2 linked regions of the Ovis aries genome follow. The main gene of each other region encodes a partner of the protein of the gene in region 2 in a complex. Links are inferred from orthologs where the notes say so. Each region holds a gene or a part of one and is shown on either strand. Other genes may lie near its edges. The genes, in order: CD69 and S1PR1.

Region 1 (4,486 bases), on a different chromosome or scaffold from region 2:
TTACTACAGCACATGGGATAGGAACTTGAATTGATCCTTCATGATATGTTGCAGAGTAAGTCCCAGTGGCATGACCTGAAGAGAGAAAGTGGATGATTAGGCAGGCTATAGAAGTAAGAAAGAGACATTTGATTTTCTCTTGAGGCATTAAAAAAAATATTATATGTCTCCCTACTTTCTTATATAAAATGTACAAGTTACGTTTCCTCAAATTTTGAATAAGTTATTTTTGGCTAGAAATGAAACAATCCAGTCACAATAATGAGATTATAAAATATTTCCCAAAATATGTACTCAGTAGCTATGAAAATTCAACATATATTATAATTGTATTCTTTAAGGTTTAACTAGACAGAGATGCTGCTTTCCTTCAAAGCAATTTACTATGCAATGGATGTTAAGACAACATTTGCCTCTTCTGAACGTTGTTTTTCCCAGCATAGGCCTGCTTTCAAATTTTCAAAGAGAAGACTTTACTTCACTCCTATCCGGTTCTATTTCTCTCAACTTGTTAAAGCATATCTTTATTTTCTCATCAGCATACAACTATTACCAGAAGCAGCGCTTGGTATTTAGGGTAGCAAGTTCAGAGCTCTCTGTCTAGTTTCACTTCTCACCATGTGAGACTCAATGAAGGGGCTCAAACTCAATGCAGAAACATCTCTGGCTCCTCAGCAGGTATCAACACATCCAAGTAGCTCACGGATGTCAGAGTCCATTGGCTTATCCAGTGGACTCACACTGTTGGCTTGGACATCCAGTGGGTAAGCTGTGGAGGTGATTCTCTGATTTTAAGTTATATCATTAGTTCATTAGTTAGGGCTATTGTTATTCACAGTTTGTTTTATCACCTAGGCAACAAACCACTCCCCTAAGAGTATACTTCCGGTTTGGTTACAAGCCCTGTCCATTAATGGAGAAATTTTAAAACAAATCCTCTAGTACATATTGAATCCCCCAAGGGTGGTGCTCAAAGATTGTTTACACTGATAAAGCTACAAGAGCAGCATAGACTAAATATTCATAAATCAAATATTCAATAGAAGATTGGGATGATTTCAGGACAAGTTTAGAATTCCTACAATTAATTCCTTCTTATTTAAACTATGCTATTATTGAATGGTTTCCTTGTTCTTTTTTTTCTTTTTTAATATACTTTTTTCTTTCAGGAAACTCAGCTGAGTCATCAAGTTATGGGTATCTGGTCACCAAAAATTTTGTGTGGTTTGCAATATCTACACTTGATTTTGTGTTCCTAAGTGAAAGACAGTTTTACCTGAGGCAATGAATGCTTTTCTAAAGCAAACCACACTAGTAGACACATATTCGGTAAACAACCCCCTCCTCTAGATATTTTCACCTCTGTTGTTCAGAACACATTCTTTGTTACTGGATAATTGGGTTTACAAGTAAACTCTAGTTCCTACCTTCTAGTGTTTGGGGCACCTCATTAACATGAGAGGAAGAGAGAGAGAAATGAAATAAGTCAAGAAAGTTCCACCAAGAAAGTTATTGGAAAACAATGGGAAAATCCTGGTGACAAGAGATGAAAAGGTCTATGGATAGATTAGACAAACAGAAACGGAAAAAAGTGATATAGCAAAGGTAATCATATTTTGATGAAAAATAAAAGAAAGGAAGAAAAATGTCTGATTCATATAGAATTCGAAGTCCACAATTAGATGAAATAGAAAAGTGAGTGCCAAGGAAGTGATGCTTGCAAATTGTGGTGCTGGGGGACTCTTGAGAGCCCCATGGAGTGCAAGATTGAACCAGTCAATCCTAAAGGAAATCAACTCTGAATATTCACTGGAAAGACTGATGCTGAAGCTCCAATACTTTGGCCACCTGATGCAAAAGGCCCACTCATTGGAAAAGACTGTGATGCTGGTAAAGATTGAAGGCAGGAAGAGAAGGGGGCAGCAAAGAATGAGATGGTTAGATAGCATCGCTGACTCAAGAGACATGAATATACGCAAATTCTGGGAAACAGTGGAGGACAGGGGAGCCTCACATGCTGCAGTCCATGGGTTCACAAAGAGTTAGACACAACTTAGTGTCTGAACAGCAACAACAACAAATAGAAAAGTGAAATGGAGGGAAAGAGCACCCATAGGACTAGAGAAGACGATTGTGTTTTCAAGAATTCTTTATGAAGTTCTCAAAATAAATTGCCTTTGGACACTATAAATATTCAGATGCTTATATGGCTATTCTCTCAAAGTCTGGAAACCTGTGTTCCCAGCAACTGGAGGATGTTTTCTTGAAAACACAAGATAAAGCCCACGAAAAGCACACAATGGTACAAGGTTCAGCCAGTCAAGAACATCATTATTTATATGAAAAATAGAATTCTCTCACATAATAAATAAATTTAAATTTAAAAATTTAAAAAGAAAAATAGAATTTTTCATAAAGAGAGGCAGTGCTTCCTAGGGGATATCCAGATGGTTATAAAAAATTGTTCACTGGGCTAGGGAGGGGATTTTCTAATTAAATCTGAAAAACTGAGATGGTATAAAATAAAACAAAGAGACAGATCTTTAAGGAGTTTCTAAAATTCACCTTTGTGATTTCCTTTCATGTCTCAGGTATTCTGTGTTCACATAGATAAAGAAATATTTACTTCTTCCCACTTTCTCTTGTGTCCTGCTCAAATGGAACATAGACAAGTTTTTCCACAAAAGGCAAGCTTGATTTTCTCCCTAACTCCTGGTATATATCATAGATAGATAGATATAAACATAGAAATAGATATTACCAGTATTTAGAGAAAAAGAATTGACCTACTTTGTGGTTCTCTTTTCAGGTGCAAGGAGCTGGTCTCTGTTGCAGAAAAATCTTCAGAATTCATCTTTATCCTTGTCACAATCACCCTGGTTAATCCCAGGTGGAGCCAACCTACAGTGAAATTCTCTGCTGGAGCTCTTGTTCTGTCTCTGTGTCTTTGAGATACCTCAACGTTTATATTCAGCTATGTTGTCTCCACCCCCTTCCTCTCACCTCCTAGTCGCTCAGATACTCCTGTTCTCTTTAATTTATGCTCCAGAGGCCCAGACAGTTTACAATGTGTTGTTGTGGTAAGCTATGGGTTTCCCCTGCCATCTGAAATGTGCTTTCTCACAAAGGTAGGTGCAGTATGAAGAGGCAAGCAGGAATTTCCCAGAATCTGAGATATCCTTTTTAAATTTGTAGAAAACAAATAGTTTAGGAAATAGAATATCCAAGTAAAGAATTAAAAGTTAGAGATTCCTATATTTGAGATGGAAATAATTTGAAGAGTCATTTTTCCCTGGAATCCCATTCATTCATTAAATCATAAGTTTAACAACTAATATTCATTGAACATCTGCTATGAACCCAACACCATTTGGGGTTAGAAGATTTATTGTTGGCTAAAAGATTTAAGACATCTATCCTCATGGATCTTTCTCCAGTCTGGAAGTGTTTTACTTAGTGCACTATAAACTGGCTTTTAGAAATGTGCCGTTCACTTCTTCCCTGGGAACTAATTTCTTAAGTCATCTAGTTAGTAAGTTATCTAGTAAGTAGTTGCTTTAATGCAGGAAATAGAAACTTTGTGGCTGGAACTTCCTTTCTATGTTCTAAAATTGTTTATCTTAAACGATCAATTTCATTTATCTCCTCAATTTTCATGTTATATATTACTGTCATTACCCACTCCAGTGTTCTTGCCTGGGGAATCCCAGGGATGGGGGAGCCTGGTGGGCTGCCGTTTATGGAGTCGCACAGACTCGGACACGACTGATGCAACTTAGCAGCAGCAGCAGCAGCAGCAGCATGACTGTCATTTGGACTGCCTTATTTCCCCTTAGTAAAATCTTTTTATCCTATTTTTCTTCCATTTGCTAGATTAGAGTATAATAACTATAAAAATATATTACCATAGTATCAATGTCATCCAGGTAAGTTATTAAGCTCAATGCAAAATAAATGCAGAATGTCTATATCTGGTGATTTAAGGAGAGGATCAAAATACTGCTCTACTTAATAATTTTAGTATCCTCAAATTTTGTCATTAATGTGACTTGAATAAAGATATTCTGTTTTCAGAATAAAGCCTTTGTGAAAATGCTATGGTCAAGTGGGTGGGAAATTGACATCTACTGTAGGCTTGGGCTTCTTTTGTAGCTCAGTTGGCAAAGAACCTGTCTGCAATGCAGGAGACCCAGGTTCAGTTCGTGGTTTGGGAAGATCCCCTGGAAGAGGAAATGACAAACTACTCCAGTATTCTTGCCTGGAGAATTCCATGGACAGAGGAGCCTGGCAGGCTACAGTCCATGGGGTTGCAAGAGTCGGACACTTATCAAGTACACCACCACTGTAGGCTGCTGCTGCTGCTGCTAAGTCGCTTCAGTCGTGTCCGACTCTCTGCGACCCCATAAACGGCAGCCCACCAGGGTCTGCCATCCCTGGGATTCTCCAGGCAAGAACACTGGAGTGGGTTACCATTTCCTTCTCCAGT
Region 2 (4,410 bases):
TGCCGGAGTTGAGCACAGCCAACACCAGGAAGTACTCCGTTCTGAACAGGATGTCACAGGTCTTCACCTTGCAGCCCACGTCGAGCAGGAGCAGGATGAAGAGTGGCGCCCAGCAGGCGATGAAGACGCCCAGGACAATAATCACAGTCTTGAGCAGCGCCAGCGACTTCTCCGAGCTGCGGCTGGCCTTGGAAATGTTCTTGCGGAAGGTCAGACGGCGGCTGCGAGTCCTGACCAGGGAGTAGATCCTGCAGTACAGGACGACAATGGCGAGCAGGAGCAGAGTGAAGACCGTGGTGCAAAAGAGGATATAGTGCTTGTGGTAGAGCGGCAGCACGGTGGAGCAGCTGGGCAGCGTGCTGATGCAGTTCCAGCCCATGATGGGCAGGCCCCCCAGGACGAGGGAGATGACCCAGCAGGCACTGATGAGCAGGAAGGAGCGGAACCGGTTGCTCCCATTGTGGAGCTTCATCTTCAGCATAGTGATGTAGCGCTCAATGGCGATGGCCAGGAGGCTGAACACGGAGGCCGAGAGGGCCACAAACATACTCCCTTCCCGCAGAAACCACTGGGCGGGGGTTAGCTTGTAGGTGGTGGCCCCAGACAAGAGCAGGTTGGCTGTGTAGGCCACTCCCGCCAACAGGTCTGAGAGGGCCAGGTTGCCGATAAAATAGTACATGGGTCGGTGGAACTTCTTGGTTTTCCAGATGGTCAGCAAAACAAAGATGTTCTCTAGGATGATAAAGCAGCAGATAAGAATGAACACCACTGAGATCAGTTTAATGCCATTGTCCTTGTCCGCGCTGATCTTCAGCTTTCCCGTGTAGTTATAATGCCGGACAATGATGTCGTAGTTGACATAGTCGGAGACAGGGCTGTGCAGGGCCTTGACCAGGGGGATGCGGGTGGACCCCATGATGCGCACGGTCCCGACACCCGGGGCGGCGCTTCTGCAGATGAACGCTAGAGGGCGAAGCGGAGCGAGCCTTCACAGGCAGCCGGGGTGGTTCAAGGAGAGAGATCCAGGCTTTTTTTGTGAAGGTTTTCTTAAGCTGGAGAGGGCCTCGGAAACCACAGCCTTAAACAAATCACAAAGAGCAGAGAGTCAGGGAAAAAGCCACAGCACATTGGCATAATTCATTCTAGCGAAGGCATTGCTCCAATTTTCTTGTTGATTTGTTTTAAGGAAACTTGGGGAGAGCGCAGGGGGGAAGGATTTAAAAAAAAAAAAAAAACATCAAACTCTCATTTCTTGGGGGGAAAAAGGAAGAAGGGTGAGAGAGAGAAAGAAAGGGAAAAAAGAAAAATTACCCAAGATGAAAACTCCGACTCGACGACAAGACGAAAACGTCCCCTATGGTTACATATACCCAAATGGAAATGGGAAAACTGGAGGTGTGAGCCCCATTTAATTCCACTCCTACGTCCTCAACACACACACACACACACACACACACACCCCTCCGCCTCTCCCAACGCTGTCCCCACCTCCACCAGATTTCCAGCTCCAGTTGAAAAACTAAAGCCTTCACCAGCTTCGCGGCGGGCTCACCACTAGCTCCTAGTCACACCTTCGAAGAGACCAAACCACCAATGTGAGACGCACACCTCTGTGCTCGGCACTACCCAGCTAAAACCACCTCCTAATTGCCATGCAAGAAGTTAGATTTGCGCGAAAATCATTTGACAGCGTAAGTCACTTTTTAGGCTCTATTAATAATCTCTAGGAGCAGGTGTGCTTAGGGTCCGAAGGCGCAGCACAGTGTGGGCAGCCAAGCCCGCCCTGGCCTTGCGGTAAACAGGAAAGCTTTAGCGCCTCCGTGAAGCAACTGCCTTTTCATTCTTCTTCTTCTTCTTTTTTTTTTTTTTTTCCGCGCAAGTCAGTGCAAGAAACTATAAAAGTACTCAGTAAAAATCATTCATAAGCTATTGCAATAAATCCCAGAAGTTTCGTACACCCATTGATTGCAAAAGTATTTTTTAGTTACTGTGGATATAGCCCAAACACGCATACAAAAAAGAGAAATTAAATTACAAACGCTAAAAATACACGCCACTGCATTTCAAATTTCGAATGCAAAATTACTCTCCAGAAACTCATACAAACAGAAGTCTGGAGGTTCCTTGCTAAGCCAGTTTTATTTACTGCCCTCCCTCAATACGTTGCCTCGTCTCAGAGAACTACGAAGTGTGGAGGGGATGAAACACGGCACGTGTGGGCAGAAGTCTACCCGTAAGTTGTTTAAATGTTTCAGGGTAACACTCAGGGTAGCAAATGCGATAAAAGTGGAATTCTCCAGACTACAGCAATTCCCGGGACAGCAGAGGCTGCTCGGCGCCCAGTAGCTCCGCGTTTCCCCCCACCTAATTCCACACTCGCTCGCTCGCAGGGCAAGTTTAAGCCCTTACCTCATCTCCCGCAGTCTTTGTCTATAGGATTTTCCAAAATAAGCGCCTTCCCTCCCACTCCGCAGACCCACCGCAACTTCCTCTATCCCCCAACCCCAGAGGGTTCTACAAAGAGGACTTAACCCTTTTCCAAACTTTTTAGTGAGCCCAGAACAATCCGATCCGGTTGGGCGCCTGAGTAGCCCAGAGATGCTTGTTCTCAGCACCCAGAGATGGATGGTTTAAAAGTGTTGCTTTGCTTCTCTCCGGTTTGAAAATTTTGTTTCTGCCTCGGAAGACCTCCGGTCGCGATGCTCCCCTGCTCGCCCGGGTCCGCGCCTGCCCAGCGCTCACTCCCTACCTGGCTCAGGCGGGACGCAGCTGCGTTCGCGGAGCTCCGGGTCTGCACTGAGCGCTCGGCATCTTGCTGCTGCCCGGGACTGACGGCGTCGAGCTCTCAATTTACTCGAGTCGGGGTCCCCTCCCTCCGCAGCCGCACACTCCAATGGCCAACGCTCTTGCCGTGGCCGGGCAGACCGGTCAGCTGAAGTCGCCGAGCGCCCCGCTGAGGCTGAGCGGCTTCTCTAGGAAGGGATGAGGAGGAGTGAGTGCCTCAAACCCCCGTGCCCCTCCGCTCGCGCCTGGGGGCCGCCGGATCTGTGCAGCTGAGACTCACTGTCCAGGAAAGATCTGCAGCAGAAACACACAGACAAAAAAGAGCCCCTCCTCCCCAAGGGAACCAAAAAAAGAAGGGGGAAAAAAAAAAGAAAGAAAGAAAGGGGGCGGAGCCTGGTGCCCCCTGGACTCAATGTATAAATCACGGTCCTCGCCCTGCTATCCGCCGCTCCCTGGCGGTGGAGACAGCTCTCCCCAGCCTTAGAAAAGAAAGGAGGGGAAGCGCTTTTGGAAACTTTTCTCAAGAAGAGTCTTGGGAGACAGAGGACGGCCTGGGCAATCTAGTGCGCCTTTCTGGTCCCCTTAACCCCGCAGCCCGTGGGGGATCGGAGTCCGAAGATTGTGGCCGGGCGCTCCGGGCCGCCACCCCACCACGACCCCAGGCGCTTCTGCGGAGGCAGGGGGAAACCAGCTCCGCGACCCCGCGAGTCCCGGTCGTGTTCCTGGGGACGGGGTGCTGGGAAGGGGCTGCCAGAAGGATGGAGGAGAAATGCTGCCCGGGTAGAAGAATGGCCTGGGAGGTTCCACCGCTTCAGCTCACCTCCCTCCCTCACCCTCATCCTTCTGCTGCCTCGAAACTTGCGGTCTGAGGGGGCAGAAAGTGGCTTTCGCGGGGCGCACAGTGAAATGGGCCAGCTGGGGGCGAGGTGTTGTGCGGGGGTTCCCCTCACTCAACTGGGCGCAAAATCAGGCCTTGTGTCCCAGATTCTAGCCAGTGGTGAGGTCTGTGAGGAGGTGGGCAGCTGCCGGGGCCCGCGAGTTTAAATAGCTTGGGCAGCTCAGGAGTTTCCAAAGAGAAAGGGCTGCCCGGCACGGACCAGCCTAGGACCGGCAGCCTGGGGCCGGAGCCCTTGTCTGTCTTTCTACGTCTTTCTACTTCGGAGGCCCAGCCTCAGTGCTCACAACTCGCCCACTGTTTCCTTTCGCTTGCATGCTGCTTCAGAATGTGAGACTGAGAGTCGGCCTTGGTCAGCTCCGCCTAAGTGGTAAACTGAGGGCCCTTCTGCCCTGCCCTTCTGCTTGAGGCTTTGCAAGACGGTTTCCACCCGATCTCTGGTCTCACTGGCTTCCCATCCAGGCAGATGTCAACGCAAAACTTCTCCGTTGTGAAGTTTCAATTAACACAGTACAGGCACACCCTGTACCTGAATGACTCAGAAGGAGGCTGAATGAATAAACAACAACTCCTGGCTTCTGGGATCTTATGACTTTGCAAAGGAAAAAAAAAAAAAAAAATCAAATGACAGTTAGAATACAGTTTCCCCAAAAGCTCTCATCAACAGCCTTGAGCCCAGCACACACCCTCAAATTCAACAACAGTAAATTCGTAAGACATAGAAACCAAGA

Evidence for each region.
Region 1: the proteins of S1PR1 (region 2) and CD69 are in contact, whole or in part, in a cryo-EM structure (PDB 8G94), measured with the Homo sapiens proteins. The link is inferred for Ovis aries from reciprocal best matches to the Homo sapiens genes S1PR1 and CD69. Residues at the interface, in NP_001307659.1 of Homo sapiens: Asn157, Leu160, Phe161, Ile164, Ser165, Trp168, Val169, Leu172, Ile173, Gly176, Ile179, Met180, Gly181; in NP_001772.1 of Homo sapiens: Val41, Ala44, Val45, Val48, Val49, Thr52, Ile53, Ile56, Ile59, Ala60, Val63.

Annotation. Positions count from the first base shown.
Region 1 is NC_056056.1:205,852,416-205,856,901, reverse strand, and holds the start of CD69 (early activation antigen CD69), read right to left. Parts: upstream 2,942-4,486; 5' UTR 2,855-2,941; coding exon 2,791-2,854; intron 76-2,790; coding exon 1-75. UniProt on the Homo sapiens protein: Transmembrane protein expressed mainly on T-cells resident in mucosa that plays an essential role in immune cell homeostasis.
Region 2 is NC_056054.1:78,585,833-78,590,242, reverse strand, and holds the start of S1PR1 (sphingosine 1-phosphate receptor 1), read right to left. Parts: upstream 3,066-4,410; 5' UTR 2,750-3,065; exon of another isoform or gene 1,312-2,749; intron 1,079-1,311; 5' UTR 917-1,078; coding exon 1-916.